Linked DNA regions of Caenorhabditis elegans. The protein of the gene in region 1 interacts with the protein of each later gene in a pairwise test. Each region holds a gene or a part of one and is shown on either strand. Other genes may lie near its edges. The genes, in order: insc-1 and stip-1.

Region 1 (16,111 bases):
AGTAGACATGATTAATATCCTTGATCGGAACGCCATCAAGAGTAACAGATCCTTCGTCCGGTTCATAAAAGTGCTCGATAAGCGATACAATTGATGACTTTCCTCCTCCACTTGGACCAACAAGTGCAACTGTTTCACCTGATTTAATACTAAGAGTCAAATCTTTTAGAACCGGGTTGTTCGGACGAGATGGATAAGTGAATCCGACGTGAGAGAATGTGATGTTTCCATTTACAAACGGCCTCTGCATTCCGTCTAATTCAAATTGCGGCTTGCGATTCATCAAATCGAAAACTTTCCTTGATGCACCGACAGCTTCCATTAGACCAGACATTACATAGGAAAGGTACTGAAAATTACGTTTTAAAAGCTTTCATATTAATTAATTCAAACGAACGTAAAGATTTTCACCGAGTTGCATTTGATACAGAAGGAATGTGATGAGTTGTTCTTTTTCCATTTTACCCGTCATCACAAGATGTCCTCCATAAAACAAAACAGCAACAAGTATCGCGTTGTCACAGAACTCGTTATTCCATGTATAGAACAAGTAGGCAATTGACTTCTTTCTATTGACGGATAGTGTACTCGAGAGACGATCTTCGAATCTTTTCAGCTCTTTCTTCTCGCACGCAAAACTTCTCACAGTTCGCATCGTCGAAACAACTTCTTCGGCCATCTGATTCGTTTCAGCAATTGTTTGTTGTAGTTTTTCGGAGATTTTCTGAATTATTTCAAAGATTATTTAACATTTGAGAGAAAACCAATACTTACATCGTAGAAACTGCTGTAAGCTTTTGTGATGAATCCTACGAGAGGAACAGCGATGAATGTAACCATTGCAAGACGCCAGGACATAAGGATCATGAATGCAAGTGCACCGATCAGCATAACTCCATTCCTCATAAACACATTCACATTGGTAGAAACTGTAGAAGAGATCGTTTGACAATCAGAAGTGAGTCTAGACATCGTGTCTCCTGTTTTTGCGGTGTCATAAAATGCAATATCCTGCCTAATCAAGGAGGTGAACAGATCTAACCGAATTCGAAGTGTAACAAGAGCAGTGGCGTAGTCAAAGCATCCACCACGAAGACCTCCAAACAGAGAACTTGTAGCAGTGAGGCATGTGAGAACGATGATGGAGTGAATAAGTGCTTGGATTCCACGTTTGTTCACAATATCAGAGATTACTTGGGCTGTGTAGTTGGGGATGAAGACACGAGCTATAAATTATTTTTTGGAAAACTAAAAAATTAAAAAAAAACCAACAAACCTAAAGCATAAACCGTAAGAAAGACAAAACCACTCGCAAACCACGGCCATTGATGTCCACAGTACGAGAGAAGACGGAGGAGTACTTTGTGTAGTGGAGCTCTGGGCGCAGTTGAGGATCCTGTAAATTTATTATTTTATTCAATTTCTGGGCAAAAAATAACTCACCACTTTCAACATTACTTGCAGTTTCCGTATCCCTCACTGTTTCAGCTGCAGTCTCCGTTACAGAAGTGCCAGCATTTTCGGCAGTTGTATTTAACAATCGATGATAATCGAAAGGATTTGAAGTGAAAACGAAGTACCAAACAAGAACTTGAATGAATCCGGAAAGAATAGACCAAATGACAGAAAACCACAATCCGGGGAAGTATAGTTGATTCGAGTCCTCGGAGAAAGCCAGAAATTTGATGAGAGATAATGAGTAGACGACTACTGCATTGCAAATCACCACAGGAAACAAAACTTTAACTTTTTCCCTCTTGTTGAGAATAATGAGAAGAACCGCGATAGCACAAAATGATTGTCGTATGAATGAGAAGATTTGAAATTCGTATGGAGTTGTTGTGAAGTGATAAGGAAGGGAGAACGTGATGATGCCCAAAAATGAGTCATAATTGAACTTCCATCCTGGAGCAAAATACCCAAATGAGACGTTAGTGATAGCTGCATCAATTAGCATGTACAGGTATAACGACGTATTGATCCATCGGTGCATCTTAAAAAATTAAATCTAGAAATTTAACGCGATTCGAAAGAGGGAAAACGAAAATAAAAGAGCGATGTTTGCCTATTCACTCTCATAGGGAACGGCAAATGAACAAGACATCAGTATCAAAGACCAGAAACAGAAAATGGAGAAAAGCAAAAATATGGCATTTATAAAATGGGAGTTCTGAAATAAAATGTGATACACGAGACAATGGGCGGAGATTACGGCATGATTACGAAATATGAGGAAACACTAGGAATGACTCATGCACTAAATTATTGTTTTAACAAAAAGTCGATAATTATATTGAATTCTCAAAAATACTATAGAGATCAACTGTGCTTGTAAAACTTCAATAAATGTTGGTTTAGAATTTTAATTAATTCTTATCGGATAATAAAAATTTGGCTCAAATTCTCAATTTTTAGGTCCGGTCTTTATTTTAAATAGTTTTCCTAGAAACAAGGTTTGTGAAATAACAGAAAAATCTAGCAATTTTCTACGATAAAACTTGAAAACTAGAAAACGTAGCTTTTACATCTACAGTAAAATTCAGAAAAGTGCTTTGTCGATTTACGATAAACAACGCGACGAGTGTCATTTCGGAGTTTCGTTATTCAAGTTGCCTGTGCCCTCTACATCTTGTACACTGTCTCGCGTTCTGAAAAATTTCCAGGCCTAGAAAATGATTCAAGTGAAGCCTGAAATATAATCTTGATATTTTTCCAAAGATAATTGATACAATGTTCTTTTGTAAATAAATCCTTTTGTAATTTTCATATTATTCTAATGCTTTTTGGGGAAAGGTTTTCGGAAAAAAGGTTTCCGCATTCTAAAAATATTCCAGACAATCCCTATTTGATGAACAATTGGTGGTGGTGGGCGCAAAAATCCACTTGGAAATCAACCATATGTCACTCATCAACCCCACTGTTTTGTGACGTTTTGATGCGGAGCCAGAAGGAAAAGAGACACTCATTTATCTTTTTTATCATCAAGAAGCGGAGAATCACAGCGGGTTTTTTGGCTGATTTATATCCTCTATGAACCCACGAGATAGGTGTTATTCTCCCAAATCACACCGTTTATTGCCCTTTAAATTTTAATAGGTTTTAGAGAATTCTACAGTAGTCAGAAAAATACGTGTTGTTTAAACTTATTGTTAGAACAAAACGAAATTCTAGCTGTTCAGTGGAGGCACTCATCATAAAAAAAGTTAATTATCTTTGCAGGAACAGTAGACAAAAACTTATTAGCAATAACCTTTAGTTTCTTCTAGGAACAATTGTGTTTTAGTGTAATTAGGTTACCTGGGGGTATATATCATGTAGAATGAGCATTTTTCGCTTATAGAAATTTATTTGAAGAGTCTCTTCAAAATATACAAAAAAATTAGATTTCACTTCTAGAAGCTTCTGCCTAAACTTAAACATAATTTAAACTTTTAAATTAAAACTTCAAACTTTTTTAAACTTTGTTAAACTTGAAAATCACAGATTTTTTTAAAATTTGACCAAACTCCGGAGTTTAGGTCTGAGGTAGGCGCGTTTATCAAATCATACCTGAAGCTCTAGTAAATTTAAATCTATATATTCAACTGAAAAAGTTTATTGAAAAGTGTAGAAATTCAGCTTTGTGGCATGATTAAATCACCAGTTGGTATTTTGTTGGAAAAAAAATGTTTAGACACACTTTTGGTAAATTGCCAAAAAATGCCAAAACGTGTGATTTGAACACCATCTATAGCTTATAATATTTGCGTAAATATACATTTTTATTAGTCTTCCAAAGACGATATGACATTAATTTTCATTTTAACTCTAAAATTTTTTTCTGTTTTTAAATGTTCTGATACTTATAATATATTCAAGATTTTTTATAAATTAAAATTAAAGTCTGCACATCTTATCATATTATGTAGTACACAAATTGCTCCTGTGGGTGCTCATCTTGCTCTCTTTCTCTCTATTTCTGAGATATTGTGACCTCTACCCTTCCGCCTGCTTTGTAACTCACCAGCTGATTTGCATTCCCTCAAAACATGTCCAATGCATTCAACTAGACCGGAACCCAATTGGCATATTTGCTCCACAAATTTTTTGACATTTCGTTTTTTTTCGTTCAATCTTACTTCCGCCTGCCTCCCGCGTCCCACGTCGATTCATCTCTTCTCACTTGCCGCGCGCATGAACTGATCCCGAATAGAGAAGTCTATGTTTGTTTTGAGAAACTCATCATTTATCACCTTCACTTTTCTCTGTGTCTCTCTATTTCATACAATATTCACAAGGTCCCGATGGGCTTCCCACTTGGATATTATCGCGCATTGACAAGAAGAGACACACTTCTTACAACAATATCTTTATAAAATTATGAATATACTTGGAGCGTCCTAGTGAAAGTGACAACTAATAATTAGAACTGCTCGTTTCTTTCACTTTTCATTCTTTCTTTTCAATTTTTACTTTTTTCAGCTAAATGCTCATATAAACATGGCCCGATTGGCCCGATTCTGGGATTCCCTGGAAAACGAGAATTTATTCGATATAGTTCCACAACCTCCAAAGGTCTCAATTTATTGTTATTAAAATTTATAATAGAAAGAAATAAAAAAAAGAGACCCTTCTAAACTTTAGGCTTTACTTGAAAAATGCTTTCAAAAAATTATTGTTAACTGATACAAAGAAGCAATCTCTTGGAAATATTTTTGATGAGCTTGAAACATTGCAAAAATCAGAAATCAGATGAAAACTGTTTATTAATAAAAATTAATTTCAGTCTACTGTAACCCGGTTTCATCAGCAATGGCTCTCAAGTTTGGCAAATGCCCGAGACGACGAGCTCCAAACAATTTTATATGCAAAACCATTGCTTCCAACTCCGGAATCTATCGTACAATTACCCGATGAAGAATATTATGGAGCCAAGAAAATCTCGGTCGGCTACAGGTAAAGTGGTTGTTTGTTGTTCAATGCACAGGGAGTCGGGTTACCCGACTAGTTGCGGTCATTCAAATCATTTTGCTCTTCTTTTTCGCTTTACAAGCTTCTTCTTCTTTACTTTAATGAAATATTTTAGCAAAAATTTTGTAATTAATTTTTGTTGTGTTCCGCCAAGAAATTGGATGCGAACAGGTGTCATCTTGGCCGCCATCTTCAAATAATTAATGACTTTTCTCAAGTTGTTGAGCATGTCTCTTTCCGAGATTCTTTGTTACTTTCTATCAATATCTCTCGTCTCGTATAAAGTTCTTATATACAGAAGTTTGAGAAATAAGTTATTTTATCCACATTTTCTTTCAAGCTTCCAACTCCAAAAGTCAAATCAAAAAAGCAAACAGTAGCTATTGGTGCGAAAAGATATTTACCGCGCGGAATGGGAAAGAGATAGTTTGCAATTTGATCCGCATTAAGAATAAATTCATTATTTCATTCATTTGTAGTATTATTGATTACTTTCAAATCAATGGTTCTTCGGTAATTCAAATCATCAAAATTTTAAAATATATAAATTAATTGTTATTTTATTTTCAGCAAATCAATGTTATCAACTTCATTGGGCAATATATCAGCTCCTCCAAAACCTCAAAGGAGGATAGCAAGGCTACGAAGTGGAGCAAATGATTGTGCAGGTAGTAACAAAATGAAAATTACTTTATAAATGTTACAACTTTCAGCAAGTCTTCCTCAATTGTTGGAAAGGAATTCTATCGCTGAGATGATGAACAACAGTCTGAGTGACAAGTATAACTCAAGTAGCACTACTTTGTGCTCGTCCGTTCATGCTGGTAAATATTTTGTGGAGAATTTAAAAGTTGATAACGATAGTGAGAGAGCTAAAACACGTCAAATGCCCTTAAATTTTTCAGAAAGAAAGAAACTTGATACCTTGCAAAAATGAAATTATTCTGGATTTTAGGCAGTATCATTTTTTCAATTTTTGCGCAATACAATTTTAACGATTTTTTCTTGAATTCATCTGGACTAGATAGAAAACAATGCAACTTAAAAAAAGGAATCAAGAAACAAAAAGTTGACTCCCAACATAAATTTTATGAACTCTCTTTTCCTTAAACTTTCCCTAGAGCACTGGGAAAACTTGCGGCATAAAAATGCTTTCAAGTTTTGAACATTTCCGTCCTGTTTCTCAAACTCGAGTTTTTATAGAGTCTTGCCCAACGGACACCGAGGATGCAATAATTCGAAATGTGAGTTCACTTTCTTTTATTCCTTCGTTTTTTCTCGTTTTCTATCCCTTCACCACCCCTTAAATTTTATCTTAATTGCTTCGTTGATTGGCAACACATGTTGAACCATTCAGATCAAGTTGCCCGGCTTCCGAGGAAACATTTCACGAGCTCTGAGCCAAAAGAGCAACTCTCCATCTGGTTGTCGAACACCAACTCCTAAAACAGCGCCTCCGTCGTATGAACAGTTTCAGGTTTTGCGACGGAATTCTATGAAATGTGAGTAATTTTTATTTCGTTATCTTTTGCTGGAAAAATTGAATTTTTTCAGCTAGTGTGCAACCACAAAGAAATGGAATTTTGTCTCCGGCCCCACCAGTTCCAACTTCTTCAAGAGCAAACACAATAACTGTTAATGGAGCACATGTTCAACAGGCAATGAACAGGTACTAAATAATTATTTTTAACATTAAAGATAAAATAATTTTGCAATTACAGAATAGACATGAGCACTGACAGCGCAAATACAATTCTCCGATCTCCATACAGTACTCGTTCGGATAGCATCACAAGTGTCGACTCTGGACAATGTTCCGGAGATCAAATCGAACGAAGATCAAATTGTTCAACTCGACAAGAAAGTAAAGATGATGATGATACAGGGATGCCAAGCTATGCGAGAATGGCTAGTCAGTAGTCATTATTTGGAAATTGAATTTTTAAAGAGAAAATTCAGGTACAATGGATCATGTTCTCAGAACATCATCTGCTTTGTATACTCTTCTTTCTTCAGCTCTGGATCCAGCAACTTGCAGAGATTTGTTGGCAAAGGTATTTTGTGCATACTGAATTAAGTTACAAAAGTTAATATTTAAGTCTTCTGTGTTCATCCAACTGCTTGAATCATCTCCATGTACAAATTATCTTCCAAAGACTGAAATGGCTCGATTAAAAATGAATGTTCAAGAGTTACAAAAGTAAATCTATTATTGAAACAAATTAAATGTTACCTTACGTTTTTCCAGAAATCGAGATAAAGGAATAATTGACATGAATAATATGACAAACTTTTTTGCGATTCTTCTCAGAAAGTCTATAGAATCAGTACTTTTGGTGTTTGTGAGGGTAAGTTACTTTTAGTTTAACTATTCAATTCATTCAAATATTTAATTTCAGATAATATCCAAGAATCTATGTGAAAGTAATGGAAAAGATCGTCTGACACCTATTTGTTTAGAGCATCTTATTCATATTTGTTTATTTGGAGATGAACTTTGTATTGAAGCAATTCAAAAAGGATGCATCTCATCAGTTATTCGAATTATGAAGAATGATCAACCACAGGAGAACACTCTTAGATTTTTACTTCGAACATTGGCAGTGTTATGTGGAGTTTCAAAAGGAGCACTTGCTTTGCTCACGGTAATTAGATATATTTTATAATCAATACTTTTCAATACAAATTCAATACAAATTCAATCAATACAAATTGATTAATTTCAGCAAGGAGGCTTGGATTTGGTTATTGATAGACTTTTATCCATTTCCTCATCAATCTGTTCCGTCGAGGCAGCTGGTATTCTGACACAACTTACCAATCCTCAGTCTGCATTCATTCGGTTAAATCATGTGGAACCAATTATATCCAGACTTTTGGGTAACCAATTTAAATATAAAAATTGGAGACTAAATAATTAATTTCAGATCTAATAGATCAATGTAAATCAGGTGACTCTTTGCTTTTGGCAACCGCTGCATTGAACAATGTGACACTTCAGAACCCAAATGGAGTTGATATTATGTACAGGTTTGTTGAATTTTAAGCATTTAACTATTTTCGCAAAAGCTCAGTACAAAATTAAATTTGAACCAACATTAAATTGAGCTATAGCACGTAATTGTAGAAAATGAATGCAAAATTTCAAGGCGAATTCCTTGTTCTAACTTTTGTAGCAATTGCTACAAGTTACCTAGAAACTACAAAACGGTAAACCAGCCTACCAGATAAAACTGAAAACAGTCTCGAATTTAAAAAAAAATCTGAAAATTTATAGGATCGCTCTCTATTTTGGGATTTTGAAAAGTTTTTTGCAACATGTAAATGTAAATATTTTCAGAAATAATTCAATTCGTCGTCTGATATCTGCTTATAATCGAGAAAATTGTGCCACTGTCTTCGTCCAGGAACAAATTGTTACAGCCTTTTCTCGCCTTGCCGCCCGTCATTTAGATCATCAAATGGTTGATCAAAATGCAATTCCAGTGCTTCTTGAATTTTTATCCCTTACCCATCCAATCCATGCGGATTACTGTAGAAGGATACGGTACAAAGCTGCTGTATGTATTGGTACTTTAGCTAACAGTGAAATTGGGCTCAAAGCCTTGTATGGTAATAATGGTGAGATTTTCAGAATTATTCAACGTTTCATATATGTTCAAGTTACAGCCTACGCAATTTTGAGCAATGTGCTTTATGATGACAACAACTCTTCAAATCCATTTAATATGATATGCAACAATATTCGCACAAAGTTGGAATCTAAATACCAATCTGAAAGTGCAGTATAATATTCAAATATCTTCCTTTGTTAAACAAACAAACACAAGAATCTGTGATAAAATAAAATTCATTGAAAACCTGATAAAAGTTCGATTGTACATTCATATAATTTAAGCATGACAGTTTCTTGGATCTCCTCCTGACAGAGCATAGTCCTTCACCTTATTGACAAAAGAATCCTTTAATCCGTACTCTTTTGCAAGACGCTCAAGATCGTGGAAGTCCTGGAAGCCAGCACAATATGCGTTCAATTTTGTGGCAAGTTCTCCTTCAGCAACTTGAGTATCAAGAAGAGACAGTTCATCGAAAAGAATCTTCTTTTGACGGAACCAATATTTTTGATGGTAATCTTCAGCTTGATAGAACTTGTCCAATGGCTCAATATATGTTTCAATGTCTCCATGCTTGTCCTTTGCTACTTTCAAAGTTTCTTCAGCGACTTTCTTTTGGTCGTCATTTACGTAGAGAATCGCAGATTGGTATTGCTGAAATTGAAACGAATTAATTTGAAGTTTAAATGTATTTTAACCTAAAAAATTATAATCAATTAGAACTTACTTTTTGTTACGTTTTCCAGTAGAACAATATTTGAAACTTTAAAGTCAATTCGAAAATTACCTTCTTTCTCCTTTCAGCTGGGTTGTGATGCTTCCAAAAGAAGTTGGTGAGCTTTGAGTATTCAATAACTTTTGGATCAAAAGTGATCTCTGTGATTTCAGTATGATCCTTGATATTCTTATAAGTAGGATTTGGTTGTTTTCCTCCAGCATATCCAACTCGTGTCACCACAACTCCTTTCAGCTTCGCCCATGCAGATTCTCCCCAGAAGCACTGAAGACCAAAATAGGCACGCTCCAAATAAGCCATGTTTCACCTGAAATTATATCGGATTGAAAAAGGTTTTGAGTTTATAAAGGAATTAAAAAATTAGTAAACAATGTAAAAACGTATGTTTCACAGTCAATTTATATACAAATCGGGGCGGAATCAAAATGTGATTCCTGTAAATTTTGCGATTACATCAGAAAGAGGAAAGAGACGCAGAGGGAATCGATGAAGAAGACAAGTAGAAAAGAAAACATACAATGTTAGACGCAGGCATATAGACACGACATGCTTTATCATCATTCTGCCAGCAGTGGTAGACGAAGAAAAAGCAGATGGCCAGTCAGAAATGATGACATAGATCGCTTTTTGGTAAAGATGTTTCTTTTGATGATATTGAGTACACGTTGGGTTCAATGGACAATAACTGAGCTTTTCCATGAACTTTCTTTTGATCAAAATAGTTTCTAATTTTAGGCCCTGTATTTTTCGTTAGAAATTGCAAAATGTTCAATGTACAAATGAATAAGTTATACCTAGTTGACGGAGCTCTTTCACTTGTGAGAACATTGAACTTTTCCTCGTCTTACAACAATCGTTTTTTTTTGTTTATTCGATTAGCTAAAAAACAATTAATCAAAAAACTATGAAAAATAAATGAAATTTCCGAAAGTTTGAACCTACAGTACTCATTAAAGGCGCACGCCTGTTCGTATTGTACAAAAATCTGTCGTGTCAAGACCGGGGTTGGCTCAAAAACCCTAAAACCTCGTGTCTGGTTAATAAAGGATATTTCCAGAAAAAAAGTGAAATGGAAACCTAAGTTATTTCTGAACTATTAAAATATAGTGTGCTCTTGGATCTTGATAATTTACTATGACTTCAGCAGCTTTATCTAATTCCATGTCTTCTTGTTTTCGCAATGTATTTTGTATTTCACGGATGGAACGTTGACGAAGATAATCTAGATTCGCTAGTTCAGCAGTTATATCATCAAGAACTTGCATTGCTGCAGCAAATGTTCAATGCACAAATGAATAAGTTATACCTATTTGACGGAATTCGTTCACTTGTGAGGATGGTAGTGGGGGTGGAGTAAGACTGGCTCAGTCTGAACGTTTTGACCTACTTGCAAGTTAGTTTTGAAGCTCAAAAATAATGTTGTTTTTACAGACAGTCATTTGGACTACAAATCCACTGTGACACCTGCTCAGACAAACGCTTAGTCGTCTAATTAGATTTCAACCGTATTCAACGAGATTTCAACCATATTTGTTTAGAAAATCCATATTGCATTATATTTGCTCCATATTAGATTAGAAATCCATGCTAGATTAGATTTCCTCCATATTTCATTAGAAAACAAATCTAATCCAATATGGTCGAAATCTAATTAGACTACTAAGCGTTTTTCTGAGTGTGCCCACAGTACATCACTATTGTTTTATTGAACCGTTGTAGAAGTATACTATAATTTTCTACAATTCAATAGTTAGGCAATACAACATTCTAAATTCTCATTAAAATAATACTTGCCAGCAAAAGTTGCAAGCCCAGGCTCGGTTTACCAAATAACTTCTTGAACTCACGAAATTGCGTATCTTCAAACTGGCGTATCTTGAAAAATAAACATCCAGGAAACAAATGTTCAACTAACAAAATGATTAGAAATATTTTTTATTTTTTCTGCATTACTTTTCAGTGCAAAATACCAATTATTTGTTACACAGAGTCATTTTACCAAAAACCACTAAAAATTTTGTCGATTGAGTTTCAGAAGTAAAATGTTAATGAATAATAATTGCAAGATATAAACTGATAAAATGTGGAAAAATATCTTGCAATTATTATTTATTAATGGGGTTATTCAAGTAATGTAGCAAAATGTATTTAAATACATTTGTGACGTCACTAATGTATTTAAATACATGTTTTTATATACTTGAATACAGTTGTGACGTAATTAATCTACACTTTTTAATTTTCCGACACTACTTGAATAACCCCATAAGTTTTGTTATCTAAAATTCAATGGATGTTGAATTATGAATGGTAGAGCAGAACAGTTCTCAAAAATTTCGATGGGTATTGGGAAAATTTATTTGAATCAGTGTAACTCAACAAATAACTGGTATCTTGCAATGAAACTAAATGCAAAAAAAAGAAAAAATATTTTTAAACATTTTTTTAGTTGAACATTTGCTTCATAGACGTGGATTTTTCAAGATACGCCAGTTTGAAGATACGCTACAAATGCCTAGTTAGGCTTGTTCGAAAGCTAGAAAAATTCTCTACACAATGGCAGGTTTAACTTCAGAAATTTATTAGTAGATACTGAAAATTATGGAAAATACCAAACTAACTATGTTTTACAATATTAGATAAACATTGAGAAAAATTGCTCAAAAAATCTGACCGACATTTCTGTTGACCAATGTGAAGAGAAAAAGTTGAAATTTTGAAAAATCTCAAAATTTTTATTCGAGTAAAAATTTATAGTTAGGGTTATTTCTTGTTTTCAGTGACAATTTTGAGAGCTTCTTGTACATGCCATACCGGGTGAACTTGAATTTTCGTTTTCATCGAATCTGGAATCATCGAGTAGTTCGAATCCGGCACTATGACTGCTTCATACAATCCGTCAATAGCCGCCTGGACTTTATCAAGAATTCCACCAACCTGAAAATAGGATCTTTCTCTCTCTTCTTTCCTTCTCTAGTACTAGTTTTTAAAACATACAAAAGAAAATGTGTTCAAAAAAGTTGGGGGTTTTCATAAAAATAAAGAACTTACTTCATAAACGAAACCGAAAACATCAAGAGAACCCGTGATGGCAAAACGGGGTGATATCTTAACTCCTGTGAAGAGAGCCAACAACCCAACCGCAGTCGCCAGGGTACCCGATGATCCATCCAATCGGCCATGATAGTAGAATTCGACAACAACTTGTCTATATTGCACCGGGAAGCCCATAGCAACTGCTTCGAAACGAGCGACTTGATACGCTAAATGCGACTTCCGTTCTATTTCTGGACCCATTTCACCTTGACTATGAACTTCGAACGAGTGTTCGTTGGAAATCTCATATCGGCATTCTGAAAAATATATGATCTTGTATCATCATTTTACTAGATATGAAGCGCTGTTTTATGTTTCTACATAGTAGATCTTTGGCAAGAAGAATCCCACTGGCCATGTCCATTTTGAGACATAATCACAAACTGGAGGAAAATTCAAATTTTCTAAGTAAAAATGCTCTGGAAACTTCTCGAAAATTCAAAGGAGTTCTAGAATGTGCTAGAACTTTCTTGTTCTCAATTTCGCAACTGCAACATTGTGTTTTGTAATACGATAACACAGGGGTTTTGGAGATATGAAGCTTTGAAAACTCACTGATAGTAAATATGTCGCCTCTTTTCCCCTTCTTTGGTTTCTTCTTTTTGGCTACGTCTTGAAAGCAAAGTCCGATCACGTGAGCTTACTTTGAAATTTTTTGATGTTTTGAAAGTGGGATGGGCATGAAGTTGTCCATTTTGTGATCAGAAACAGTCTTAGCTTGAGCCACATTTTGTTGCATAGCGTTAGTATCATTGCTGCCATTTGCCGATGTTTCTGAGATGTCTTCACAATTCTCATCGATTTCATTGGAGCGATCAGTCTCGTCGCCTACCTACAAAATTTGATAGTTTTAAAATATTTTTCCTCAACGTTCAACCCTTTATAAGATCTATGTTTGAGTACTGGTGCACTGTTAGCGGAGCACACTTTTATAAATTATGAACATTTTTGGAATGTTCGAAAAACTTTAAAACATTTCTGAGAATGTCAAGTGGAAGTTGCTGAAAGATTGTGGAAACGACTAAATTTTCTGAAAAATTCGAAAAAATTATAGTCTCTAGAACATTTTGATTGTTTTGAGGTGCACCGAGAATATATTTTTAAGGGTATAAGTACGCATAGGATATGATAGGATAGGATATGCATAGGATAGGGTATAATGGATATGATCTATGTTTGATAGAGTGCATTTGCAAAGATAACGGCCCTGCAGGCATTTTTGAAATAATTACAAAAATATAATTTTCCCACTCGTAGGTTATTCCCTTATTTATGATATCTCTTCGCACATATGAAAACTACTTTTTTCAAAACTTTTTATTCTTCAGATTTTATAAATCTATAGACCTTACTTGATTAATATCGTGATTACTCACATTTTCTTGCTCTGCCTGAGCGCTTTCTCTTTCAGCGTGTCTTCGGTTGTATCGGTTGTCTCGTTCCTCTTTTTGAATCTCCGCTTTGGTCTTGCCCATATTTCCCTGAAAAGAACATAATTTAAACTGTGTAATGAAATCTTCCCGCGCGGCGATTTCTTGTAAGCAGGGGTGAGCGGCCATCGGCGATCGCCGATCGCCGACAGGACGAAAAGGGTCGGCGATCGCCGATCGCCGAGTTCATTAGACGGCAATTTTTCTTTTGAAGAAAAACAAGAATTTGTATTCTTTTCATAATTAATAAGTTGCAAAATGCACTTATATAACCTCATAATGAACATTTAACACTTGAACAGTGCATTTTCTTTTGTAAAAATCTAAAGTGCAAGAAAATCGCCGAGCGGCGATCGCCGATTTTTTCAGATTTTCCGGTCGCCGATCGCCGAAGACAAAAATATTAACGGCAATCGCCGATCGCCGCGTTAAAAATTATTATCGGCGATCGGCGACAAAAAAAAACGTGTCGGCGATCGGCGATCGCCGATCGCCGATTTTTTTTCGATCGCCGCTCTCCCCTGCTTGTAAGCTCTCGTTTGTATGTAAACTCACTTTGTTAGTAAAATGCAAGTTGTCAATGTTTGATTAGTGTCAGTTTCTTTCGAAATGATTGAAATATCAATTCTGACAGACAATAATGGTAATCTTGATAAGGTTTTCCACGTCCAGGAGAACACGTTAGTTTTCTTGTTTTAGAAAAAATTGTGGTTGGCACGCTCACAACAGATACGTTGCTTTCTCAGGTCCTTTCTAGCTTCTCCTTCCGGAAGGAGAAGTCTTAATACACATTTCGAGATGTTTTTAATAAGAGAATGCGTCTTGTAGTACAATTAATATAGTTGCGAATCTCGCGCCTCTGTGGTGGATCGTTGGAGGAAGTTAATAAACGAATTTTGAAATGTCAGACGTTCGACTCGCCATGACACTCATGAGAAGGAAATATGTTTCGAAAACAATTACATTCTATCCTAATAATATTTTTCCCAATTTGTGTGAAAAATTGTGTTGTTATTCTCGTCAAAAGAAAATTAAATGGTATCACAAAATGATCAACGGGTAGGAGATCCTAAACTGATCCTATAAACCATAGTATAGTTTGGGGGAGCAAGTTGGGGGAATAAGTTTACAAATGGGAATAACATTTAAATGGGAAGCAAAGACTGATCGGTTTAGTTTCTCTGGCAGCAGCTTTAACGACCGGTTCCAAATGGAAAGATTGGAACGCAAAAATGCTTTGTTTGAAGCTCCAATAGACTTCAGCATATAGGGGTATCTCGGTGATTGAGCTGGAACTATTAACCAAAGTTTAACTTTGAAAAAGCCGAAAAAACTCGAAAATCACTCTCATCTCAAGACAGAAGCAAGCTGCAAGTGAATAATTAGGCTTGTTTGATAGATAAAAAAGGTCTCTACACACTGACATGTTGAACGGATAGCTTTGGGCACCAAATTCAAAAGTTAAGAGCCGGGGAGCTATTAACCAAAGTTTCCACGAAACTAGTGAAAAACCAGCTGAAACTGCTAAAGCTGGCGGATTTTTAACCGTTAACCTACTTTTTTTCCAAATTCGCCGAATTAGCTGTTAGCCGAAAAAACAGTTAGCCGCCCAACCCTGACCGTAATGTGAATTTTAGTGAAGTGCATAATGTCTGCTTCTTTCGTACATCTGTGTTTATATCGCCCATAACTTGTCCAAAAAACTGAAACAAATTCTGTCGTCAACTATTAACTACATATTCCCACTAACCTTCCACATGTATCCATCAACTGTTCCACCTATAATATGCACACAGATGGCAGAATCAAGACCTTTAAATAGAGTTGAAAACTTTTTTGCCTTGGAGAGTTGTTTCACTGAAACAAAGGTAATAAGATAAGGGGATCAGACTTTTCTTACTGTAACTTAAGATGTTCGGAAGAATTGCCATTTCTTCTCCAAAAAATATATATTTCCGGCCACAAGTTGTTGGGAAAGGCTCGTATCCAAACTGTATAAGTTCACGAACTACAGTAATCGGATGTACTGATGTCATTGCAACTAAAGTCTGAAATTCAGACTCTGAATTGGTGAATGGAATTAAAGTTTTCATCATGATAAGTTGTAAGTATTATTTTTGACGCTTCAGAGCTGAATGAATAAAATTGATGACTGATTTGACACCTAAATAAGTTCTTAACAAAACTCAAAATTCTCGGAAACTGACGAGTCGTGACGACATACAAAAATTCGATAAAATTTTGGAATTAACGTGCATCAGTCTCACCAATATCGTATAATATTT
Region 2 (16,111 bases), 3.0 Mb from region 1:
CATTTCTCCCTGTTTGTTTTAGGTTGCTTATGATGGTTGTTTAATGGTTGCGGTGGGAGGGAGTTTGTCATCTGACTCGTCTTCGTTCGTACTTTTTAAGAGACATCAATACACCTAAACTCCGCTTACTCGATGATCATTCAGTTTCTTGAGGAATAATATTTTCCACAATTCCTTCTGATTTTCTTTTTATAGCTCATATTCGTCATTTTTTATATATACAGAACAGAAGCAACAGCTTCCAATTCGGTGTTTTAAATATACTTCTTTGCTACACTTTCAGAGTTTTCCTAATGTTTGCAAATTCATTTTTATTTTTCAGACCGCTAGCAGAAACAATGGGACATAGTCAATCCTACGATCTTCGGAACCCGGAAGGAGGCGAGAAGACGCCAGTTAGAGGAGTACGAAGAGTGAGCAGAGAACATCAGACTGATGCACAATTTGTGAGAAACTTACCTAAGGATAAATCAAGACTAACTTTCACTTTTCAGTCCACAGAAACCGCTGAGCCGTTTGATTTTCGAGAGGATGAGCTTCGTGACCGGATCCGAAGAGAGCAGTTGAGGAAGAGAGAGGTCGAGTTGGAAACGTTGAGAATCAGACAACACGAGAGTCGAGAGGTATTTTATTTGATGACTGAATGATTTTAAAACCCAATTTCCAGCCAATCATCGATGCGTACCGCCAAAACCAACCTGCACCACAAGGAAACTTGTACAATGAGTTCAATCATTACGATTCGATGAAACATGCTTCTCCATCTGATCCAGCCACTTATTTCGCACTGAAACCAATGACCGAAGTTAATGAAGGCCGACAATTCTCAATTCCAACTTCTTCCACTCGCCGCTACGACCAAGTTCCAATCGATCCATCCCCTGAACTTCAACGCCGTGAAGTTCCCAGCAAGCAGTCTCCACCAAACTATCCGAAGCGATCTTCAGTGTTTGGTGGCAGAGTATCCCCGTTGCCACGTCAATCGGAAGTCGATCCACATCCAATGCCACGCTACATTCCACCGATGAGTCCAAGGTATGAACGAACCCCCAAAGCCCAATACTGTAAAACTACCACTGTCACTACCTATACCACTTATGGAGATACCCCTGAACCACCTAGAAGTACAACTTACTCGAAAGCTTCAAAGCTGAAAGAAACATCGGTAAAACCATACGCCACCTACTCAAGAGGTACTAAACTCCCAAAGTATGACGAAGTTCCCAGGAATACAATGTACTCCCGAGCTTCTGAAGCTTCAAAAACCTCTTCTCGAACTTCCTTAGCTTCAACATGTTCTCGAGCCTCGAAACTTCCAAAATATGATCAGATTCCTCGTAGCCCTAGTGTCCATAGTCTGTATTGTCGTATCCCAACCTATGATGAAGTCCCAGTCCAAAAAAGTCCACGTTCCATAACTCCAACGCCAATGAGCCACCGTGTCCGTATTCAAACATCTCCTCCAATCCCACCATCATCTAATAGTACCTATGTGATTCCTGTTAAAGTGGATCGTAGATCCGACAGTCCTCGAACAGTCATAATCCCATTCTCATCAAACTCAACTACAGCTCTCGACAAGGTTCCCCAAGAAACACCAATCTATCGTAGAATATCTAAACCCAGCCAGACTAAGCCAACCAACTCTCGCGTTTCTAGCATCCCTTTAAGTCAGTCGTATCATTCGATGGACAAAATTACGATGACCTCAGTCTATCGTACTACTGCTACAAATAATCTGAAACAAGAGCCCATAGTCATTCCTAGACCTACCTATCGTTATTCAAAAACTCCGCTTCAAAAAGAAATTCCGCCAGTCCCTCTTGAACGATCTGTGATCCGACAGCCTGAGTACAGTGATCCCGGAGACTCTAGAATCATAGTCATACCATTCTCAAATCAGAACAAAAAATATTCACCCCCTCCATCAAGAAGCAGTACTCCAATTTATCATACCAATCTTCAAAGAGATGTTCCAACGTCTCCCCTACCTAGAAGACCCCTCTACAGTCGACCACCGTCAACTATTAGTACTGCTTCATCGGTTGAATATATCCCTCGTGCTCCGGTACCTAGAAGACCACTATACGATAGACCTCCATCTACGATTAGTCCACCTCGTTCTCCCCCATCAGAGCTTTATTTAACTCCTCTTGAGCAGGAAGTTCAGCGGGCTCCATTGTCCAGGCGACCACTTTACAGTAGACCACCATCAACCGCCAGTGCTCCTCGTTCTCCACAACCAAAAATCTATTTAACTAGACTTCAGAAGGAGGTACCACATGTTCCGCTGTACTCATGCGTGGCAAGACCAAGACCAGTTTACAGTACACCTCCAGAAGAGCCTATTGTGATTCCTCGTGCAGTTAATCCACCTGTGTCTTCAACAATATATTTGACTCGACTTGAACCAGAAGTTCCTGGAACTCCACTACAGCACTACATTTATAGATCTCGCTCTTCATCCACCTATAGCGTTCCGCCAGTCGAGGAGGCTTCGACCCGAACAGTAGCTTCCCCATCTAGATACACTCCCCCTCCTTCTTCATCTCCAAAAATGCACCTAACTCATCTGGAGCGTGAAGTTCCTGGAACACCACTCAACCACTACATCTCCAGACCTAGATCTACCCCGATCTATAGTACTCCACCAGAGGATAGGAATGTAGTCTCCCCATCTAGATATACCCCTCCACCATCGGTAACAATGGCTGCAAAACTTCATCTAACCCCACTCCAACCTGAAGTTCCTAGTACTCCATTGCAGCATTATATTTCTAGATCCCGCGCTTCATCCGTCTATAATACCCCATCAGTAGATAGTACTTCAACGCGTAGCCTGGTGTCTCCATCTTCTGTTCGTATGCCTCCCAAGCTCCATTTGACTCGTCTTCAACAGGACGTTCCGTGGACCCCGTTTAAGGTGTCTAGGCCTAGGTCAACTCCAATATACAGTACCCCTCCTCTCGAAAAACCTATTTCCCGTACTCTTGTTACCCCGTCTAGACGCACTCCCCCTCAAAAGCTCCACCAGATTAGTCTTGATCAAGACATCCCGGGAACTCCCCTTCAGCATTATATCTATAGATCTAGATCAACATCAACCTACAGTATACCATTGTCTGACTATCCTCAACCATCGCCAACTCCGTCTAGTGTGATTATGAATGACGATTCTCCATATGAAGAGAAGCCGAAAAGTTATTTGGGTACCTACCCAAAAACTTACACCAGAATCATGCCAGAAAGACCACCAAAAATAATTTCCCCACCAGAACATCCGGTAACAGTCAGCAAATCTAAATCCACTCAAACTCTTGACCAAATGGTAGTTCTCCCACAACCAAAAACTCATCTCTACCCAGAAATCAGTTACCGTCGTCGTAGACCATTGAGTATACATGTCCCCGCAGAGTCCAAATCCTCCACCATAATTTCTATCTACAGTAACCCCATCGATGATGTTCCACCAACACATGTCTCCGAACTACACGCCGAGAAGCGAATGATCGTTGGAATCGATGACGAGTTGCAGCCAGAGAAGAACAACGTGACATACGTAACTGTAGCTACTGCTGCAATCGATAATGAACTACTTCATCGTCATCCAGAAGTTGGAAGACATCCAGTCTACGTGCTTCCAGCTCAAACAAGCTACGGAGCTTCTGCCAAAAGAAGATCGTCTGATGACGAGGCAAAGAATGTGTTGCCGCCACAGAACTGCACAGTGGAGCACTGTACACACGTGGCGGTTAATGATGGAAGTCCTGTAGTGATAAGAAAAAGAGCCAGTCAAGATTCCATCAGAGATAAGGTGAATAGTATTATTATCTTCAGTTAAATAAAGATATTCTTTAGGAAAACCGCCTAACAATTCCCATCAACGAGGACGACACGGAAAACGTCGGAGAGGGTACAAATTATCAAAATGTCTCGAAAAAGTGCTTTGAAGAGGTAACCAGAGATTCCTTGCTAATAACTAAAACTCTTTTTAATTTCCAGAGACTCCACTACGATTCGTACATGCCAACGCTTTCATTGAGACAACGTCCTGTTGTCAGCTTTTATGACAAGCTTCATTAACTGCATTGAATATTTTTCTGAAATTTTGAAAAATCCAAAAAAAAAGAATGGGGATAAGCATTAATGTAATTTATTCATTAATTGTCAATAATTAATTTTAAAATGCAAATAAATTTTTTAACCTTTTTTGGGATTAAAGAATGCATGATTGGAAATCAAAATTATGAAACTTCACTGATTCAACAAAATCTGGAACCGAATCTTGCTCTGATACTTGTCATTATTCATGGTAATCCTTAGTTTGTTTAACTCATCCAAGTCATTCTTCACAGCATCTTCATTTTCCAGAAGCTCCCACGGGTATTCTTTTGCGAGACCCAAAATTTCAGTAACAATGATTTATCACAAATTATATCGATTGCTAGATCAAGATTCTTTTCCTGAATACAAAGCTTTCGAATATCTTGAATATTCTCAATTTGGGAGAGTATTTTTATACTCATTTTCTTCGTTGGGAAACACTTTCGAAAATGTTTAACTTTATAATCATTGTTGCTCATTTCTTCAAGCATTTTTCCAGTCAAACTTAACTGAAGCTCCTCCATTGCATACGGGGAATCCTCGCAGGTTTTTAGAATCAATAACTGTAACCTCGTTTAATATGTTTTTTCCAACAACAACCAAATGCAGAGTCTTCACCTTCCACTTGGAAATCATCATAGCACTGAGAAATACTTTTGGGATTCCGGAAGAAGGGGCATTAATTGAGAGCGAATCAACTGTGATGGGCGCGTTTTTGAAGTTTACCAAAGTTGGACGGAATCGGTTTCCATACAATAAACAATCGATCGTGCTGTAAATGTTCAACTTATTCAGTTATCGACAGTTTTCCGCAAACTGCCAAGATTAGGAAGTTCCAACTTGTGTAGCATTTTCCAAAAACTTACAAGCTGGTTATTTCCAGTGATTCAAAATGATGAGGTTTTTCAAATGGGGTCTCGAATACACCTTCTTGTATTGGACCACACTTCTTGCAATGTTCTACAACACGTCTACACATCCCTCCACAATCTCCAAGTTTACAAATAGTACACATTCCAGTGTATTCTTCAACTTTATCGTCTGAAAAGCAGCATCAACATCTTTAACTTGTTCCTATAGAGTCAAACAGTTTCAAAAAGTTCCGATAAGCTTGCATGTTTCTGATAATTGTTGTTTTGAGCACAAAGATATGTATTCAAAATTGAAATTTTATAATAGTCAAACTCACAATCATATCCAATTAGACCAGCAACATGAAGTCCCTCGCAAGTATAATCTCTATCGATAGCTATATTCAACTTTCGGACAATAACACCAACCACATCTTTGAGAAAACTGGAAAATGAATTAGCATTGGAAACCAGTAGTTACTATAAACTTACAAAAAATAATGCCAAAGTTGGTAAATCTCTATCTTCCAATTGTTCACTCGAACTGTGCAGAACTTACACACATAATCATCGTCACATTCCCAGTCATGCAAATCGCTTTCCACTACATCGTGAAATATCATTTTGGAATGTTCGTTGCGGATTCAATAAAGCACTGCAGTGTTGAAGAAATTGTAAAGTTTGAAGATTTGATCTCAGAATTATCATATTCAAAAGTGTTTTCTACAAAACAATTTTTGGCAATTTCCAAAAAGTAGCCTCTGGATAGAATCATATAACACAACTCACTCTCAACTCCAGTAAATTCATCGAATTTTCGTTAAGACTTTCCAAAATTCTTTCGAGAATTATCCTATTCTCAAATATTCCTTGAAATTTTCAAATTAAAAGGAAAATCTATAAAGCTGTGAAACTCACGTAATTGTTAACTTTTTCAAGTTGGGACATTCTTTCGGTCTTAAAAGAAAAAAAAACAGAAATGAAGGTGGAAGGTACAAAAGACAGTCAATAAATGTCGTAGGATTATTCTCTTTGCAGGTAGTCCTGTCATTGATTTATGTCATTGAGAAACAGAAGGTGACACTTGACTAACAACAACCTGACGTAACATTGGAGCTACTTGAACACACCAAAAAAAAATTTATTGAGAAAAGACAAGAAATGGTATATAATTGTAATTTACTCATTAAGACTCTTTTTCAGTATTACATATATATGAACTCTTATGTCAACTTCAAGTATTAAAGGATTAAAGTATGTATTATAGAAATTAATATTAATCCAATTTATTCCAATGTTCCCATATTTATAAAAATCAATTCAATATTCTAAAAAACCAACTTTTTGGAAAAGTTCAAAACATGAAGTTTTTAAAGTACTTTCAAGTGAATTTAGATATTATTCAATGTTGGAAATGTTTCGTGATGGGAGCCCAAAGAGTTCTGTTGCATTTTGCTTTTTTCTCCGGCTTCGGGAATTTTTTCCAACACTCAACAACAATCTTATCACAATCACAAAGTGCCGCTTTGCATCCCATGTTTTTATCTGGAAAGCTTTTTAAATTATTCGGGCTCAAAAGAGCTTATATACCAGAACAAATTGCAGTGGAATTCATGCATGACCAGGAATAATCATCAACGTATTCGATTTCGACATCCATACAAACCTAAAAAAACACATTGAATAGTGTATCGTTACTTCCTGGAATTCATACTTCAAGGCGCACGGATTTACGTGCATCGGTCTCGCCACGATGTGCAGTTACAGTACTTCGTTGTCAGCGGGGCGAGACCCAAGTGTGTTAGATATTAAGTTTCTTTTTAAAAAAGTCACCTTATTATCGACAGCAGCATCATAGCACTTGTCATGGTGCATACAACACTCATCGATTCCATCGACAGGCTCATGAGATCCACCGATTCCACACCAGCATCCATAATTATTGTAGTGCTTTAATAGTTATTTCGCATCAAAAAAACTTTATTCAAAGGAACTTACCAATGCATTGTAGTGAAGTTCGCATTCAGCGACCTCCTCCAGGTTCCAGAGAGCCTTCAGTCTCGGATTGGTGCAATAGCAAGTCGTTGAAAGAGCGGCTAGAAACACTAGAAGTATGAAGTTCATCTGAAAATTCAAAAATATCGATGAAAAACTCCCGTTTGATGAAGTGAAAAATATCAAGATTTGAATTTCGCTCCAAAAGTCGCATGCCACTAAACAACATGCAGCCAAAATAACGGAGCATCGTAGTCTTTAATTTTATTTCGAATTTCGATTTTCTCTACATTTAATTTCGTTTTTTGTCTTAAAAAAGGCTAGGTATATTGATTTTTCTTATTTAAATGTTAGAACTTATTAATACTGATAAAATAAATACAAAATTGACGGTTTCCGGATGAATTTGCCATAAGAAAATCGTTTAAATTAACAAAGTTTAGGAAAATATGTGAAAATTGTTGTTTTTATCGATTTCGAAGTGTGTTTAATAACTTTGTGTGCTAATTAATGAAAATAAATAGGATTGGAATTTTAATTTGCTAATTTAGTTTTAACAATATGCAAAACATGAAAATTATATTATTCAATGAAAATTGTGATTTCTCAAAAAAATTTTTAATTTAAAACCAAGCAAAAAATTGAAAGTTAGTCTGGAATTTCGTCAAATGTTCAGACAAAGGAAACACGTGTTTAGATGACCGGAATGCCGTCAGAAAGTATAGGAAGAATGGGACAGCACGAGACCTGACAGTGTAAAAAATGATTCATTTCCTCCCTGGATTTATCTCTAATATCTCTGCGTCTTCCAATGAAAGATATCACTTTGATTTTTTGATTTTAAATCGACATTTCAAGAAAAAAACATAATTTCGTAATTTTCAGATGGAGGACGATGATGGACGTGAATCGTTCGAGATCAACGACATGGATCTCGAATACGCAATGAATCCAGGCGGCAGGCGACGGTTTCAGAATAAGGATCAGGCGACATATGGTGGGGTGAGATCATTGAAAAATGCGAACTTTTTGCGGAAATTTTTTGTTTTCTTGGAAGCTCCGCCGTTTTTATTAACATTGGGCAAACAAAATTGACATTTTTCAGGAGTCTTTGCACCTGACAGCGACGATGATGACGATGAACAAGGAACAAGCCGAGGGCCTTATAAGTAAGTTTTCTCCTTTAACTTTGTTTCAATAATTGATTTGTAATTACAGAAAACGATCAAAAATAAGTGCACCAATGAGCTTTGTGAGCGGAGGTATTCAACAAGGAAATAAAATCGACAAAGATGATCCAGCGTCTCTGAATTTGAATCTTGGAGGCGAGAAAAAGCCGAAAGAAGATGACGAAGGCTCCATTCAAATTGATTTCGATAAAAGAACAAAAAAAGCACCGAAACAGAACGGCGCCCAAGTTTTCGCAGGAATGCGCTCATCAGCTAATCATGGAGCGGCAGATATTAATCAATTCGGTAGCTGGATGAGAGGAGACGGAAATTCGAATAAAATCATGAAAATGATGCAGGCAATGGGTTATAAGCCAGGAGAAGGTCTCGGAGCACAAGGTCAAGGAATTGTGGAACCAGTTCAAGCTCAATTGAGAAAAGGAAGAGGAGCTGTTGGAGCTTATGGAAAAGAATCGACAGCTACTGGACCAAAGTTTGGAGAATCTGCAGCGGATGCACAGAAAAGGTAGGCAAAGGGTTGCTTGAAAAAATCAATTAAAAACAACGAAAAAATTAAATATTTATTTTTTAGAATGGCTCAAGAGGGAACATCATCTCGCCCCACAAATGATGATCAAGAGAAGAGTGGATTGAAAATAAAAGGAAGTTGGAAGAAATCTCAAACAGTGAAGACCAAATACAGAACAATCGAAGATGTGATGGAGGAAGGAATGTCAGCATCACGACCAGCTTCTCATCAACAATCACAGCAATACTCGAACATTAAAGTAATTGATATGACTGGAAAACAACAAAAAATCTACTCGGGTTATGATTCATTCTCTATGAAAACTCGATCCGAATACGATACTGTCGATGATGAAGAACGGACTGTTTTTGATGTGCCGGAATTGATTCATAATTTGAATTTACTTGTGGATCTTACTGAAGAAGGAATTCGAAGAAGCAATCAACAATTGATCAGTTTAAAGGATCAGACAACAGCTCTGGAATATGATCTACAACAAGTTCAGAAATCTCTTGGAACAGAAGAACAAGAAGCACAACATATAAAAGATGTATACGAGCTCATCGATGGATTCTCATCTAATCGTTCACCGTCCATGGAAGAGTGCCAAGAATTGTTCAGACGTCTGCGATCAGAATTCCCACATGAATATGAGTTGTATTCTCTTGAAACTGTTGCTATACCAACTGTTCTTCCACTAATTCAAAAGTATTTCGTTGCCTGGAAGCCGCTCGAGGATAAGAATTATGGTTGTGAACTCATCTCGACATGGAGGGATATTCTGGATGACAGTAAAAATGGAAGAAAGATGACATTTGGGCATAATAAAACAAAAGGAGATGAGATTAGAGGTAAGTCTATTAGTTTTATTTTACAAAGAAAAACAGACAATTTTATTTCAGCCTACGATCGTATCATCTGGGAAGGAATTCTTCCATCAATTCGCCGTGCCTGTCTTCAGTGGGATCCGAGCACACAAATGCACGAAATGATTGAACTCGTCGAACAATGGATACCTCTATTATCCGCATGGATTACTGAAAATATTCTGGAGCAACTGGTTGTTCCTAAAATTGCGGAACGAGTTAATCAATGGGATCCGATGACAGATGAAATTCCGATTCATGAATGGCTTGTGCCTTGGCTTGTACTTCTTGGAGATCGTATTCAAACAGTGATGCCTCCAATTCGACAGAAATTATCAAAAGCTCTGAAACTATGGGATCCAATGGATAGAAGTGCTCTTGAGACACTGAGACCATGGCAGAATGTTTGGTCAGCTGCAACATTTTCAGCCTTTATTGCACAAAATATTGTTCCGAAACTAGGTGTTGCATTGGATACGATGGAATTGAATCCAACGATGAATCCAGAATATCCTGAATGGACAGCTTGCATGGAATGGCTTGAATTTACACATCCTGATGCAATTGCTAATATTGTTACAAAGTATTTCTTCCCGAGGGTAAGTTGATTATTCATGTTCGTTTTTAAATATTACATTTTTTTTTCAGTTCTACAACTGCCTCTGTCTTTGGCTAGATAGTCCTGGTGTCGATTACAATGAAGTGAAGCGTTGGTATGGATCCTGGAAGGCTCGAATTCCACAAGTTCTTGTTAATTATCCAACTGTAAATGGTAAGTTCAAATATCTCGTTTTTAGAATCAAAATGTTTTTTTTTCAGAAAATCTTCGTCGCTCAATGATCGCAATAGGGCGATCCCTTCAAGGAGAGAAAGTCGGCGGACTCCAAGCCACTCCGATTGCTCCAATGGCTCCACCACCACCAATGGCACCACACTTTACTCAAGCTGCACCTGTTCAGAAACTGTCATTAAAAGAAATTATCGAGTACACAGCTGGAAAGAATGGATTCACATATCATCCACAAAAAGATCGATACAAAGACGGACGACAAGTATTTTGGTTCGGTGCACTTTCGATTTATCTCGATTCGGAAATGGTTTATGTGATGGATCCAATCGAATTTGTATGGCGACCTTCAGGGCTCAATGAGCTTATTCAAATGGCTCAAGGTGCACAAGGATAATCATTTTTAACATATCATATGATCTTGTTTAAACTTACGATAAAAGTTATTTTAATTTATTATTGTTTTAATTTTAACCTTGTCTATTCATTCCGTTAGATAACGGTTCATTATTTTATACTTTCTGCTTTGTATTTGTATTTTATAAAATTTATTGAAATTAAAAAAAAAACTGTAATATAGTATACTCGTAAAATTTTTACATTAAAAATCATCGGTTAATTTTTCGCAATTTCATAAAATTCTAATATTCTAATTGAATTTTCTAACCGATTAGAAAATAATGATTGAAGTTAACCGAATTGGCGAATCGCTGAGATCTGTGGAATATGCTGATCATCAAAATCGATTAATTTTCCGCCGTCATTCGTCGTAAAATTATTATTAGAACTTGTCGGGGAGTAGGCATTCAGTTTTTCACTTCTTGTAGTTATTGGAGTTTCAATCGAGACAGCTACTCTTTCTGACGGGAGTTGGACAATTGAGCGCGTCGGCTGAAAATCTAGATGAGAAAATTTTGGAAGCTTTTAAATTAAAAAAATAAGTTTTTACTAAAAATACTAAAAATTGTAATCTTTTCTGAATCGTAGAAACTAAATTTATCTCAAAAATCGAGAATTCTACAAGAAAACATACATTTTTCGGGAATAAATACCATACGAATAGTCCAACCACTACTCCGAAAACATGTAGAGATATTGAGATAATTGTGTGCGTTGTGTAGGATAATGTGACGAACATGAAATCTGAAAATTAGCAATTTTTCACATTTTGTATCAGTTTCTCAACTATAAAACAAAAACATAAAAGTCAAAAGCGATGGAAAGACTGTGAGCGAGAGATGAAGCCGACGGAATGAAGCGTAAAAGCTGTGGCGCACCACGGCTGCGCGGAAAGATTTTTCTCGTTTTTCTGATGTTGCTGACGGGCGACAGCCAGCAGCTTCTCCTTCCATTATCCTACAAGTGTCCAATTCATCCCGCAGAATGGCTTTTGTACCTATCTCCCGTCCGTTCTGGCTTATCGTACCGGGGACATTTATTGCGAAATGTAGAGGATTGTGTATGTGGTTTAGGAGTGGAACATTGAAGTAGCTAGCGGGAATTGTGGGATTATTTTAATTTTTATGAGATTCTCAATAGTTTAACTATTTAATTTCATCAAAAAATATCCTATTTATGGAATTTAATTTATGTCGAAAAAATATAGAAAATCACTAGATTTATCTGAAAATAACATTTTTTTCAGCCGAAACTTTTGAGAAAATGCAGAAAATTACCTTAAACTAAATGTTATTTTCAGATAAATCTAGTGACTTAAAAAAAATTATTTTTGACACAAATAGGAAATTAAAAATGTTAGAAAAACATGGTGCATTATGTCATTTTGTAGAATTGCAGAAACTATTATGATATTTTGACATCGAATGGAAAAATGGCAGCTAATCTAGCGAGCGATGAGACCGGTTCTCTATAGATTTTCAAGTGACCTTTCGGAACGAAGAAGTTCCAATCAAGCTACATACTAGATTCCTAGATTCTATAGACTTAGAATAATTAAATCAAAAACCTATCATGGATGAGAATAAGAAATAATGAAATCCTGCCTTGAATTAATATGCAAATGAGATGACTATACAGTCAGAGAATTATTCCTTCTTTGTTACGCGCGTTTCATCCGAATCTTTTTCCTGACTATGAGAAAGTCTCTTCGTTGACCGTAGTCTCTAGAGGTCTTGTGACCCCGATTCGGTCGCTTAAACAAAACACAAAAATACAGTAGTGGATTGAAAGTTCGCGGCTTTTCAAAAAGTGTTTTTGATCTTTATGTATCATAAATCGTGAAAAAAACGACTAAAAACGACTGCCGCAGAAAAAAAAGTTCGAAATTACCGTACTCTTAAAAAGCGAATATATTTTTGTAAGTCTGTGGAGGGTACTGTATTTTTAGCGCAAAATTTTGCGAGTGTACAACTGAATTATCATTTCGATATTAGAAAATCATGTATTTCCACAACATCATAATTTCAGGATGAAGCTTCTCAAAAAACCCGCGGGACTCAAAAAAAGAAAAGTTATTTCAAAACGAATCAAGATTGAAAAGAAGCCAAGTTCTGAGGACGAGGGAAGTTCAGATGAGGAGGTACCAAAATTGGATGGAGAAGGAAGTTTAGATGGATCTGAAGATGAAGATGATGGAACTGTGACTGTTGAGAAAGGAGGTGTGAAGAAGCATAAGTTGGATTTGGAAAAGTGAGAAATTGTCTTCGAGCTGGTAATAAAAATATATATTTTTAGACTGAAACAATCCGATCCCGAGTTTTTCAAGTTCCTTCAACAGGAAGATGCCGATCTATTGAATATGGAAGATGATGGGGATGACGATGAAGATGACGATGAGGATGATGAAGATGAAGAGGAAGAGGAAAGTGATGATGATGAGGATGATGAGGAGGATGACGACAAGACAAAGATTAAGAAGATCCGAAAACCAAAGATTAAAAGTGACAATTCTGGACGTCTTATCGTGGATTCAAATGTTTACTCTTACCTTCAACAAGTTCTCGTTTTGGATGATGAGGTAATTTATATTATCGAGACGGAAAACTTTACTTACTTTGATACTTTGATGTCCGTTGGGTTCAAGTTGCGAGGCAACTGCGGACAAACTCGAAAAAATATATTTGTTTAGTTGAGAAAACAATTAAAAACGCATACATTTTTTTAAAAACGTAAATTTTGAAGTAAATGATTTTTTAAAAAATTTTAAAAACCTGATACTAAATGATTAGCAGACCCAAGCTGTGACTAAATATTGGTTTTTAGAAATTTTTCATCGATTTTTCGTATTTTAGTTGAAAATATATTCATTTATTCAACAAAAAAAAAACAATTAAAATCACATAATTAATAAGAAATCAGTAAAAAATACTATAAAAAATCAATGAAAATTACAGTAACTAGAGTTTGAAACTACAGTACTCTTTAAATGCGCACACGAGTTTGCATTTAACTAAAATTATGTCGTGTCGAGACCGGGTACCGTATACTTTTAGCATAAAACGAAATATTTCGCGTTTGGGAAATATGGTTGTACCAGAAAAAAACGTTATCGAAAAAAAAAGGTTTTTCGCCAAAAATCACGAAAGAAGCAAAAAAGGAAATTTTGAAGTTTGGAATGTTTTTTTTTTGAAAAAAGTGTGAAAATTAAAAATTTTGTGTTTTCAGTGAGCGACAGGCGGTTTTTTCTTTCGAAAAGTGAGAAAAAAACGTTTTTTTAAGCCAAAAACGTTGAAAAAGGCAAAAACGAAGCAAAATAGTCTAAGATTAAATATATTAAAAAAAAAAAATTCATTTAAAATAGGGCTGAATCCGAAAAAAAAATTTCTCGAAGTCGACGGAAGCGAAAAAAACGGAAATTTTGATGTTGCGACTGTTTTTTTTTGAATAATATCAAGTGCAACTTTTTTTTAAAGTGTAAAATATTTTTTGGCAAAAAAATTTTTTTTAAAAAGTGATAATGAAGCAAAATAGTCTATGGCCATCGTGCGAGAATCCTATTCGAATTCCAACAAAATGAAATATTATAGACCTCCACACCCACCAATCCATCGGATGTTCGTATGGCTGTCGATGTTTTTGTCGCTTGTGTTGCTCGAGTTGGTGCAGACATTGAAGCTCCAAAATATGTCATTAATGAGCAATCAATCTTCGAAGCTGTTGTTCGAATGTGCTTTCAAGCAATGCCTGATATTCTAAAAAGATTATTGAAAGCGAAACCTGAAGGAGATAAAGTTTTGTTCTCGAAGACTGCAATCAAGAAATATCAGACATATGTTAGAACATATCTTCATGCAATGATTGTTGTAAGTGGCTGAAAACATCTGAAATTCTAAATTTTTGATTTAAATTCAAATATTTTCAGTTTCTCAACGAAGTTCAAACCACTGAAGTTCTCATTGCCACAATTAAAGCCATGACTCGGCTTGTCGATCTCTATGCTCATTTCTCCAGAATGTCTAAACTTTTGATTAAGGTAAGTCATTACAAGAAAATCATACTTTTAATTGATTTATTTTCAGGCGGTCGTCAGAATTTGGAGTCGCAAAACTCTGGAATGCAGACTTCCAGCCTTCGTTTGCATGAATCTTCTTGTCAAAAACTATCCGCAACACTTCGTGCCACTTTACAAGGTAATTCAATTTATTTTTTGTAAAAAATTTAAAAATTGATCTAATTAATCTAAACATAATCTAATTCAAAAGTTCGATTTTAAACGCTAAATCATGGAAAATTTCCCGCACAAAAGAGTGTGCACCTTTAAGGAGTACTGTACTTCTCTGTGTCTAGTTTTTCAGAATGTTTAAAATTTCCTCTTAAATCTAAAAAAAACAACATTTGGACAACGAGAAAATAATCGTTCAATATTCGAATTTTGAAAAAATTAGAAATTTTAGAAGTAAGAACTACAGTAATCTTTGAAGACGATAGGAAAAAATTGCGCTGAGATGATGATCAAAAATTCAAATTTTCGATTTTTCCGGAACATCGAAAAAAACGTTTGAAAATTAAAAAGCTACTTCAACATTTTAATGAGAAAAAAAATTTTCCTCTGGAAACAAAACAAGATTGCCAAAGTTTCGAGCGTTTTTCGAAATAAAGAAAAACTATTTTTTGAAATCTTGAAAATTTTTTCTGCAATACTGGAAATAATTTTTTTCGTTTATTTTTTAAAGAAAAATGACAAAATTATTCGCAGTATAGCAACTGAGCTATTAAAATGTGAAAATAATGTGCAAAAAATGTGCTTTCCTTTAAAAAAAATTTTAATGAAAAGCCGCGAAAAAAAAATATTTTTTTAATTGAAAAAATTTAAAATTTTTCGGTTTTCGATTTTCCAAAAACAAATTTGAAAATCAGTTTGAGAAAATTTTCGATCGCGTCGAGACCAGGTACCGGGTTTTCGCAACTATACAAACTCACACAGACCGCCTATGTTGCATTTGTTGCAAACTCGAAAATCGTCACCAACGAAACGTGGCCACTTCTTCAATTCATGCACCGAACATTTGCCGAGCTGACAATTTTGAATCCAGAGCAAGCTTATAAGTATGCATTTGTCTATATTCGTCAAACAGCTGTTCATCTTAGAAATGCAATGATTTCAAAAGGACGAAAGGTGAGAAGAAACACAGAAAACACTGAATCCTGAGAGGGTTGAAACCAGGGATGTGTGGATAACCGATTTTTTCGGCTAACGGCTAATTCGGCTAATCTCAGTCATTCAAATCGGCTAATTTTCGGCTAATTCGGAATTTGGTTAAACTTTTTTTGTCCATTCTGTTAATTCAAGTTTTGGGTTACTTTTTTCACTGTTATTGAGCAAATTCAGGGATGAACGACTGTTCAAATAG

What was found.
Region 2: the proteins of insc-1 (region 1) and stip-1 interact in a two-hybrid assay, tested with the Caenorhabditis elegans proteins (one study listed by BioGRID).

Annotation. Positions count from the first base shown.
Region 1 is NC_003280.10:7,354,434-7,370,544, forward strand, and holds insc-1 (Protein inscuteable homologue C-terminal domain-containing protein), read left to right. Parts: upstream 1-4,479; coding exon 4,480-4,554; intron 4,555-4,765; coding exon 4,766-4,935; intron 4,936-5,520; coding exon 5,521-5,618; intron 5,619-5,663; coding exon 5,664-5,774; intron 5,775-6,153; coding exon 6,154-6,194; intron 6,195-6,307; coding exon 6,308-6,452; intron 6,453-6,504; coding exon 6,505-6,619; intron 6,620-6,671; coding exon 6,672-6,862; intron 6,863-6,909; coding exon 6,910-7,004; intron 7,005-7,049; coding exon 7,050-7,150; intron 7,151-7,198; coding exon 7,199-7,298; intron 7,299-7,349; coding exon 7,350-7,595; intron 7,596-7,676; coding exon 7,677-7,830; intron 7,831-7,877; coding exon 7,878-7,980; intron 7,981-8,290; coding exon 8,291-8,571; intron 8,572-8,619; coding exon 8,620-8,741; downstream 8,742-16,111. Other genes in the region: haf-2 (ABC-type antigen peptide transporter), read right to left, coding at 1-349, 398-724, 775-1,226, 1,277-1,396, 1,444-1,993; msra-1 (peptide-methionine (S)-S-oxide reductase), read right to left, coding at 8,844-9,218, 9,352-9,600; F43E2.6 (Ovule protein), read right to left, coding at 13,037-13,228, 13,749-13,871; F43E2.11 (Peptidylprolyl isomerase), read right to left, coding at 15,428-15,529, 15,577-15,683, 15,727-15,862.
Region 2 is NC_003280.10:10,341,730-10,357,840, reverse strand, and holds stip-1 (Septin and tuftelin-interacting protein 1 homolog), read left to right. Parts: upstream 1-7,835; coding exon 7,836-7,947; coding exon of another isoform or gene 7,948-7,952; intron 7,953-8,055; coding exon 8,056-8,119; intron 8,120-8,168; coding exon 8,169-8,645; intron 8,646-8,711; coding exon 8,712-9,499; intron 9,500-9,550; coding exon 9,551-10,113; intron 10,114-10,162; coding exon 10,163-10,286; intron 10,287-10,333; coding exon 10,334-10,698; 3' UTR 10,699-10,756; downstream 10,757-16,111. Other genes in the region: C07E3.3 (SH2 domain-containing protein), read left to right, coding at 339-446, 495-623, 668-3,814, 3,859-3,954, 4,003-4,083; C07E3.8 (DUF223 domain-containing protein), read right to left, coding at 4,588-4,876, 4,971-5,145, 5,294-5,400, 5,448-5,578; C07E3.9 (Phospholipase A2), read right to left, coding at 6,358-6,500, 6,546-6,621, 6,789-6,905, 6,954-7,079; C07E3.10 (uncharacterized protein), read right to left, coding at 10,992-11,192, 11,335-11,439; pro-2 (Nucleolar complex protein 2 homolog), read left to right, coding at 12,730-12,950, 12,996-13,278, 14,288-14,563, 14,623-14,733, 14,780-14,890, 15,685-15,876. UniProt on the Caenorhabditis elegans protein: May be involved in pre-mRNA splicing. Required for embryonic development and survival.